3 linked regions of the Coturnix japonica genome follow. The protein of the gene in region 1 interacts with the protein of each later gene in a pairwise test. Links are inferred from orthologs where the notes say so. Each region holds a gene or a part of one and is shown in the gene's direction. Other genes may lie near its edges.

The links.
Region 2: the proteins of FHL2 (region 1) and KIAA1217 interact in binary tests that used the Homo sapiens proteins (3 or more experiments, as listed by UniProt). The two-hybrid records come from large-scale screens. The link is inferred for Coturnix japonica from reciprocal best matches to the Homo sapiens genes FHL2 and KIAA1217.
Region 3: the proteins of FHL2 (region 1) and GNG12 interact in binary tests that used the Homo sapiens proteins (3 or more experiments, as listed by UniProt). The link is inferred for Coturnix japonica from reciprocal best matches to the Homo sapiens genes FHL2 and GNG12.

Annotation. Positions count from the first base shown.
Region 1 is NC_029516.1:121,878,769-121,881,966, reverse strand, and holds the end of FHL2 (four and a half LIM domains protein 2), read left to right. Parts: intron 1-792; coding exon 793-979; intron 980-1,792; coding exon 1,793-1,944; 3' UTR 1,945-2,680; downstream 2,681-3,198. UniProt on the Homo sapiens protein: May function as a molecular transmitter linking various signaling pathways to transcriptional regulation. Negatively regulates the transcriptional repressor E4F1 and may function in cell growth.
Region 2 is NC_029517.1:15,320,119-15,322,507, reverse strand, and holds the end of KIAA1217 (sickle tail protein homolog), read left to right. Parts: intron 1-189; coding exon 190-684; 3' UTR 685-1,776; downstream 1,777-2,389. UniProt on the Homo sapiens protein: Required for normal development of intervertebral disks.
Region 3 is NC_029523.1:25,873,659-25,877,415, reverse strand, and holds the start of GNG12 (guanine nucleotide-binding protein G(I)/G(S)/G(O) subunit gamma-12), read left to right. Parts: upstream 1-1,303; 5' UTR 1,304-1,358; intron 1,359-1,458; exon of another isoform or gene 1,459-1,477; intron 1,478-1,825; exon of another isoform or gene 1,826-1,845; intron 1,846-1,955; exon of another isoform or gene 1,956-1,976; intron 1,977-3,757. UniProt on the Homo sapiens protein: Guanine nucleotide-binding proteins (G proteins) are involved as a modulator or transducer in various transmembrane signaling systems.

The DNA of each region.
Region 1 (3,198 bases):
TAGGTATGGTAAAGGGAGGACAGTTGGACAAGATGATCTTATAGGTCCTTTCCAACCTTGTGATTCTATGATTACCAGAACTTCCTTTTGTGTTCACCACGTGCCCCAGTTCGCATTACTTTCACAGCAGCCCTCATACAGAGGAAAGAGGTAAAGACAGATGAATACACATATTAGACAGCACACCACAAGACTGACTTCCCAGGGAATCCCCCTTTAGCGAAGACAGGAAGAAAAATTAAACGGATTTATTTTAAAGCTTTCTCAGAACAGTTACAAGACCAAGAAACGTTTCCTTTGTCTAACATCAGAGAACATCATCCCATAAGAGGAAAAAGCCCAAATTCCATAGAAGCAGACAGCAAAGATTTCAGGTAAAATTTGAAATAAAGCAGTTGCTGTCAAAGGAATTAGCAGGAATTGAAGGTGGCTTTTCCATTATGAAGAATGGGACGGGTGAACAAGCAGAGATGTACACCTCATAGCACATGAATATGGAAAAATGACCTACAAAGTCCAGTTTTAAAAATAAAGAGGGTAATTTATAAATAAAAAAATTTATAAAGAATTCAGAAAATAAAGTATCTTTAGTATAGGCCTCCTCTGTATAAATTGGGAAATTACAATGAATCACTTGCAGGCTCTTCTCAAGGTTAAATCCAAATAACATGATCAGTCTTCTTTCCCTCCTCCTACCCACAAAAACCTCATCAACCTTCCTCTCTACCAAATGAAGATGAAAATCTGCCACTCTCAGAAAAAACACTTTCTGTCTTACTTTCCATCAAACAGGCTATCACTACAGGAGGTGTGACTTACCGGGAGCAGCCTTGGCATAAGGAGTGCTTTGTGTGTACCGGATGTAAAACTCAGCTGTCTGGGCAACGCTTTACCTCCCGGGATGAGTTTGCATATTGCCTGAATTGCTTCTGCAATCTCTACGCCAAGAAGTGTGCTGGATGCACAAACCCAATCAGTGGTAGGTCTCTCATGGCGAGTCACTTTATTTTTGTTTTCTCCATTGAACTGCATCTAATATTAATAAGGGTTCAGCAATTCATTCTTACTAGCTTGAGAGAACAGAGATACTACACAGTTCAGGAACCGTGAACTTAAATACTTATGATGCCATCCAAGTGCATAACAAAAAGACGTGAAAGAAGTCCTTAAACTGAAGTTTATTCCATTTCACCTGACTTGTATGAAACACAGTGGACACACAGTGACATTTATGCATGTGGTGGGATGCAGCCATGTCCTTTAAGTCATTTGTGCTCATGAGGGGGAACACTGACTTCAGTAACAAAAGTCTCTCAGCCAGCAACATTTAACCAGCGTACACCTAACACTGCAGCATATTTCTTCCCTGATTTTTCAGGACAGTGACTGAGAATCTCAATGCTTTTACATACTGCTTTCCAGTATAACAGTACTCTAAAGCTGTAAGCAGTTATTCTCTACATTTGAAATACTCTTAAAAAAAAAATCCCATATCTGAATTAATCAGCATTTAACACCAAGACTGCAGATCTGAGTTGATTCCGAACCATTCTCTCTCCTGTTAACTCAGCTAACTCAGCTATAAAAGCAGCAGAACTACTTAACGATGAAAACCCTACTTGTTCAAGAATAAGGTGACAATATTTACATAGCAACAAACAGAAAAATATTTGATACAACAGTATTTTCTCACTACAATGTCAGATGCCCACAGCCATCCAGAAGTAGAATCTGAAGTAGCACCATGTAATGGCTCTTCTCTTCTGATAACAGATCTTCTGTTTTCAAACAGGTCTCGGAGGAACCAAGTACATCTCATTCGAAGAGCGGCAGTGGCACAATGATTGCTTTAATTGTAAGAAGTGTTCTCTCTCACTAGTAGGTCGTGGCTTCCTTACAGAAAGGGATGACATCCTCTGCCCTGAATGTGGAAAGGATATCTAAAACTCAGAATAAGAAACAGGGAAGAGAGGAAGAATGCTGTGCTTGCAGTTTATAACCTGAAACACACAAAACTAGCTTTGCCCTTCTGTGTTTTGCTGTACTATTAACATCACTTAACCTTCTTATGAATTTCAAACCCTACAAGTATAGAGGGAAAACAACTTTGGAAACACTACTATAGCAGGGACGGTGTTTAAGGTTTCTATAGCTAACCAAAACTAATGCAAAACCTGAGCTGTAAAGCCATTTGGGTGTTACTGACATAATACACTTTTTTTTTTTCCTCCACTAAATATTCCAGTTTAAACATTTGATTTAAGTTATGAGCAAGTGATACAGTTCAAGGATTACAGTGGCCACAGGCAATAAATTCATAGATGGATATTCAGGGTGAAGTCCCTAGCCTATTGAAATCAGTGGCAAACAGCATTCAATTTCAATAAGGCTGTGGTCTCACCTCAGTGTTCTTGAGTTATGTGTCTAGCATGTGCTGTCAAGTATGTAGAAAGACTACAGACGTAGAGGATGTTTTTTAAAGTACAAGGATTTGTGCAATGTCAAAGAGACAATGATAAAACAGTTGAAGTGGGAGTGCTTCATAACAGGTACACATTTTATTGCATGACTAGCTGATCATTGTGTGAAGTACAGTTCTGATCGACAGTGTCAGTATTACATTTAGTCAACGTTACACTGCACATTGTATTTTTAAAAATAAAAGTCAATTAAAACAAAACTGTTATCGTGATTTAACTGCATTTACATGATGGATATTTACAAATAAGATGCTTTCACAGTCTTTCAAAACACAATGTAAGAGCCATACAAACACAAACCTTTTTTGCACACCCAACTTGCTAGGAAATTGTGGCACTAAGCAATCCTCACACAGGCCTTTCTGATACATCAGTCTTCTAATTGCAGTCACTGGGAGAGTTATTAGCAAAACTAAACTGTGTGAAAATATTGATTCGATTTCAGCTGATTAAGGCATGTCCATAGGCTCTAAACTCAAAATCAAAATACTCTTTTCAGCAACCAAGGTTAAAACAATTAAAACAACACTGATCTTTGTGAAAGTCACAAGTTTAACTTCTACATTAGGATTTGCTTGAATTTTATTATTGTATTGTGATAGGTAGCATCCTCTCCTATAGCATCATTTCTACTACATACGTGCTACAAAGGCAATAAAATTAAGAGGAAATAAGTCATTGGATGATAACCATCTTCCCAAAGCATACTTCAAGGAAC
Region 2 (2,389 bases), on another chromosome or scaffold:
CTCTATCTCTGCGTTCTTTGTTGTGTACTTTGGGTTTTCTACCAGGTCCAGTCCTTTATGGCTGCCAAGACTTATCTCAGGCCTCGAGCTGTTAGCTCTTGCTCTCTGTAGGGCTGTTCTCCCAGGTCCTGTTGATTTGTCGTATTACTGGCTTTCTGACAAACTGTCTCCTGCCGTCTTTATTTGCAGGCTAATGGAAGTGCTAAGAAAGCTGGTGGGGACTATAAGGCTACTTCCCCCACCCTCCCTGCTTCTAAGATCCCTGCCTTTTCTCCCACTTCTGGGAAAAGCAGCTCTGCCCCCGCTCCCAGCAGTGACGGCCCTAACCCCCTTACCCCATCCGCAAAGCCCTCCGTGCCCCCCTCTGGCCTCCTCGGGCCCCAGGCAGGCCGCATGGCGTACTCGGCCTCCCTGATCCCCTCTGTCGCTAATGGCTCCTCCAAGTTCCAGAGCCCACCCTACGCCGCGAAGGGCCACCAGCTCTCCTTCTCGCTGCAGACTCAGAACGGCCGCCCGCCCCCTCCTTCCTCCTCCACCTCCCCCCCATCCTCCACCTCTCCCACCTCACTGAACCAAGGTGTGAAGAGCATCAGGACCATCCACACTCCCAGCTTCACCAGCTACAAGGCGCAGAATGGAAATGCCGGCAAGTCCGCCTCCCCCGCGGCCAAGGAGCCGGCCTAGAGGCTGCGTGCTGGATTGCCACTCCTTCCCTGCAGCCACTGTTCTAACCAGGGAGCATAACCATTTTGCTGTATCGCTGGAGGCTTAATACTAACCATGTGCTAAATACTGAGTTACTACACTAGAGTAGAGTGAAGCTTTTTTGTAAACCTGTTGCTGTTGTCATGATAGAAGAGCGTTTTCCCTCTGTAGGCAGCACCTCATGGTGGTGGTGTGTGGGTGTGAGCCGGGCGCTGAGCATGGCTACACGTGTGGCTGGCGTTTAGTAAGAGGTTTTGTATAAAGCTATTTTTCATTACGGGGACTAGACATGAACAGAGATAGATATACTGCAGTGTGATTATACACAACTGTAAAACTGAAATATTCCTCTTTTATTTTGGTGTTATTTAGCTTTGTTACAGATTTCTATTTTTGTCAACCAATGCCACGGTTCGTTTCGAGATCTTTTTGCCAAAATATTTTGATATTATCCTATAATGTACATTTGAAAGCAGTATGCTGGACAGTAAACCTCTGCACCACAGACAGACAGAACAAGACTGGTCTCAGTGCACAGGAGGCAACTCAACCTATTGCACTGCCGTTCAGAGTCTATTTAAGAATTCACCAAGCAGAGAAAAAAACCCACAAATAATAGTTTGACACACACAGGGAGTTGCCGATGATTATTTTCTTTCTTTCTGAGCTAAATTCACCCTCCTCCTTCAGCTTTCTTTTACTGGGACCTGGTAACCCATCGATGTACTGCATTGTGGATTTTAAAATGTACACTTCTGTACTGTTCTGTATACTGGCAAACTTTTTGTACATACCTATAAATAGATATAAATAAATAAATGCTGTATGTGGCTGGGCACTTGGCGTAGTTTGACCACACCAAAGTTAATTTTTATGCATGCTTTCAAAATATCTATGGGGCAGGGCTGAAACAGGTGGGTCACGGTCACACAGGAGGAAAAGCAGCAAGTTTGCAGAGCTCATGGTTTTGTAAATAAATTTATTGTATAACAAACACCCTGATGTAATATACAGAACTATGATAAGCAAAGATCTTTACAGAAATAAAGGGCTGCATGCTTATGTTTTCTACTTTGTCACTAATATTTTTTCTGGTGGTCACAAGCAGGGCTGTTTGTTTGCCTTAAAGAAAGAGGGAAACTACCAGGAAAAAAACAAAAACAAAAACAAAAACAAAAAAAAAACCGCTACCCTGATTTTCCCCAGGTTAAAGCCATAAGTAAGGATCAGTTTCAAAATGGAGTCTTTTTAATTAACTCAGACAAGAGTGAATTGCTTGGCTGCCGGGTTGGTTAAAAAGGCAGCAAGAAAAAAGGGGAGCACCAGAGTCTTGGGACTGATGAAATGAGGGATGGTCTGACCTCCCTGCTCTGCTTTGTTCCTTACAGGGGAGCAAGAGTTTTCTTGAAACTCATTTCAAGGCTGAGCCCTCAGAGGGTGCATCCCTTGCAGTGGAAACAACTCAGTATGCAAACATCAACTCGTACCTCACTGACAGGAACAGACTCGTGTTCTGGCAGTGCTTGTGCTGGTCCCCTGTGAAGGGGACATTTCTGCAGGCTGAGAGCCCAGCACTGTCCAGGAGCTGCAAAGCCAAATCGAAGCGCAGCACAACTCACAGCACTCTGAGTGTGGTGCTGGGCTCCAGCCATCTCCCAGCCTCTGCAGGACAGCTGTGGGCCCA
Region 3 (3,757 bases), on another chromosome or scaffold:
CAGGAGCTGCTGCTGGAGCCCACGAGAGGGCGTTGCTTCCTGGGAGCCGCTGGTGGAGATGGAGCAAAACTTCCTTTCTAAGTAGCGATTCCCAAAGTTCCGTTCCTTGCCGTAGTTCTCTGTGTCATTTTCCCCCCTCTGGCTTTTTTACATCACAATTCAAACGGCGGCCTTCAAAAAACAGCTGACTCCAAACAAAATCAGCCACTTCTACACTAACATGGGGGGAAAAAAAGCACCGTGTAAAGCTGGGGTTCTTGTCATCGTCAGAAGTCTGAAGAACCGTGGTGATAATGAGAAACAGTGCTAAAAATGGGCAGAGGGGGAGCACAGGGCACGAATGGAGCCTCAGCTGTTTGTGTGCTCCTCAAACGTCACAAAGTCGTCCTGGCACAATCCCAGCCCCCCTGAGCTCACTGCAGGCTGCTGGGCCTGACTGCAAACTGCAGCAGCTCCGGGCTGCAGCAACACCCCGTGCAAGCTGCAGCAGGACGGGATGCAGGACGAGCCCTGACAGCAGCCAGGCCTGCCACGCTGCAGCGCTGATGTAAATCACATGCAAAGCTCCGAGCAGCACCGGGACACACCGGGGGAACCGGAGAGACCGGATCTGTGACGCAACACGGCAGCGCTGGAGCCCCGTGGGGCTGCGCTGGCGATGGAATCACGGAGGAGCCAGGGACGGGTGTGTGCAGATGAGCTTCCACTGCAGCCCGCCGTGGCCTGCCGTGGTTTGGGGGCATTGTCCATTCGTCCCCTCCCATCCTGCTCTCATCGACTGTGGGCACTGTGTAAGTTTATAACACTGAGCGCGCTCCTGCTCAGCGCTTCTGCAACCAGGATTATCCATCTTACAGCACTACTCTGAAGTTTGAACTGAACCACATTACCACCATGCTGGTTGGAGCTCCCAGCTCCCATCCCAGCCCATGCCCACCTCCCTGGGTGCCACATCCCGGGCTGTGAGCCCTGCTCAGCCGCGCGGTGCGGCTCGTTACACGAAGCCATTGCTGCCCGCACCCAGCCCGGCCGCCCTCGGGCACAGCGGCAGCTCTGCCCCCAGGAGCATCGCCCCTCGGACAGCACCGCTACGGGACAAAGGGGGAGGCGGGAGGAGGAGGCTACAGCGCTCCTTCCTGAGACACGAGGGCCACCAGGACCCGCCGCTCGGCAGGGCCCCGTGGCGGCGCAGGGCCGGGCCGGCAGCACGAGGCCTCCGGGGGCCGCCGGGCCGGGTTGGGTCGGGTCGGGGCCGGGCGGGGCGAGAGCGGGCGGAGGAGGAGGAGGAGGAGGAGGAGGAGGAGGAGGAGGGCGGAGCGCGGGGCGGTCGCCCCTGGAGACGGCAGCGGGCGGCGGCGGTGAGTGCGGGCCGGGGGCTGCGGGCCGGGCGGGGGGTGGGCCCGGAACGGGCGGCGGTGGTCGCGGCGCTCGGGGCCGAGTTCGGAGCCGTCCGGCCGCTGTCGGGCCGGTTCTTTTTGTATCTCATTTCTCCCGGCTTTCCCCCGGTTGCGCCGTTCCGGGGTTGCGGGGCGGGACGGGCCGAGGGGCGGCGGGCTGAGCGCCGGGCTGTGCGGGCAGCGGGGCCTCCCCGGCGGGCAGATCCCGGCGGTTCGGGCCGAGCCCCGCCGGGCGGCGGCCGCTCCATCTCGGCGGAGGGAGAGGGCCGCTCCCGCCGGGCAGCGCCTCGCGGCCTGCGGGGCTGTGCGGGCCGGCACGTGGCGCTGCGGGGACGCGGCCTCGGCCTCGACCCGGTGTCGTGTCGTGCGGTGCCCGGAACCGGAGCGCGGCCCTGGAGCTGCGCGAGGCCGTGGCCGGGCCCTGAGATGGGGGCAGCGGCACGAGGGGGTGAGCGCCGACAGCACCCGGCACCGAGCGAGGGGCGCTTGGTCGGCCGGACACTGTGCGGGCTGCGGGGCGGCCGTAAGGGGCTGGTTTGAGTCTGTCTTGGTTGGGAATTCGTTTAGAAGTAAAATGAGGTGAGTAAGTAATGGGGTGGCGGTACGATGTTGTGCTGCTGCGGTACCACCGAATGCGATTAAGGGATTAGGATGTAGTTAATGACTTCCCAATCCCGTATTTCAGCCTTGCGTTGGATGTATGGCGGTAATTTAGGCTATCCTTAATCGAGTGCCAAAGTGGCAAATGAATTCTAATGGGCAGCAGCTGGTGAGCCCGGAGCCGTGTCATGGCACAGCAATGGGACCACTTTGGTTTGTGAGAGGTGACCTTGTGCATAGCGGGGGGTTGAAACGGGATGATCATCGTGGTCCTTTTCAACCCAGGCCATTCTGTGATTTACCTGCTATCAAAGCATTGGTGTTAAGAGAGGCACTGAGGGCTCCTGCAGTGCTTGGAACCATCTCTCCATCTCATCGTAGGTTAAAGCAAGTTGTGTTGTGTTTCAGGTACTTTGTTTCAGATACTGTGTGGCTGTGTAGGCAGCTTTACTCTCATGAGCACTGAAAGTCCATTTCTCACGCTGCGTTCCTCGGGATGTTCAGAATATTTCAGCCCAGCCCATGAGAAGCTGCTGTGTGCCGTGGAGCTGTGGGAGATGCAGGCCCACCATAGCTCTGGAAACACGGAGCCCACCGGGGAGCTGCCCCGCACCGCAGCTCTTCCACATTGGAACAAGTTTCCTGCCCAGGTCCTGATATGGCATCTTCTGATGAGGCTGTGTTACAAAAGCAAACTCTTATTGCTCTGGAAGCTCTTGGTGTGGCCCCAGAAATCCTCACCACCAGCTTTCTCGCTTCATCCCTGTGCTGGAGCAAAGGTTATGGCATGAGCCATCTTCTGGGGGCAGAAGGAAGGTGCTTGCTGTGAAGGGCCGAGATAGGGATCAGTAGTAAAGCATTCATTGGCTTTAATGAAAGCAGAAAGCGAGTTCCCCAGCTCTGGGAAGTAGTTGCAGACTTGCCATTTCTTGGGAAATTGAAGCTGCAGATGTTTGGTGGCTCTCGGGATTTGCTCCGAGTTAATCACTGCTGGGATCCTGCAGCTGTTTGCTGCGTTTTGTCATGTTACACAATGAGACCCAGTTTTTTCCAGACCTGAGTGTTCGTACAGCGCTCAGCACTGTGGTCCCCTCTGAAAACCCCTTATTTCTGTTCTCCACAATAAGCTGTGAGGGCTATGGAAGGGAGGGAGACCAGAAAGTCCTTGTGTTGTGAAGGGAAAGCTTTCACTCTGTGCTGCTGATGAGAACACTGCAAAGAGCAGAGGGAATGGCAGAAGCCCTCGGAGCTCCGGTACAGCTCTTTCTCTTTTCCCTCTGTCCAGAGACTCCGAGAAATCCATATTTTTAGCTTTGTTTCTCTGAATGTTCAGTAAAGCAGGCGGCGTGTTTATGTTCGGCTTCCTGTCTCCGTGTCAGTATCTTGGCATGTGATGGAGTTTGAGCGAGAATCAGAGCACTGGATGTGCTGAATGATGGAGGGCAGGCTGTGTGCCTGGGGCTGCTGGGAGGTACAGCGGCCTTTTCTCCTTGCTGGGATGAGAACTGAGCCATTCACACCATCACAGCTCCAAAGCTGCTTTAGCCCTGTGCAGGAACTGAGCTTTAAGTGGCCTGGTGTCAGAGAGTGGGGTGCTTGGGGAGTAGGTGTTGATGTAGGATTGTGTATGGGGAAGAAATCAGTGGGTTTTGGTGCTTCAGGATGAGGAGAACAAAACGTCTCCTGGCAGTCAGAGTGGGATGGTGTGGGATGGGATGGTGTGGGATGGGATGGGATGGGATGGGATGGGATGGGGTGGA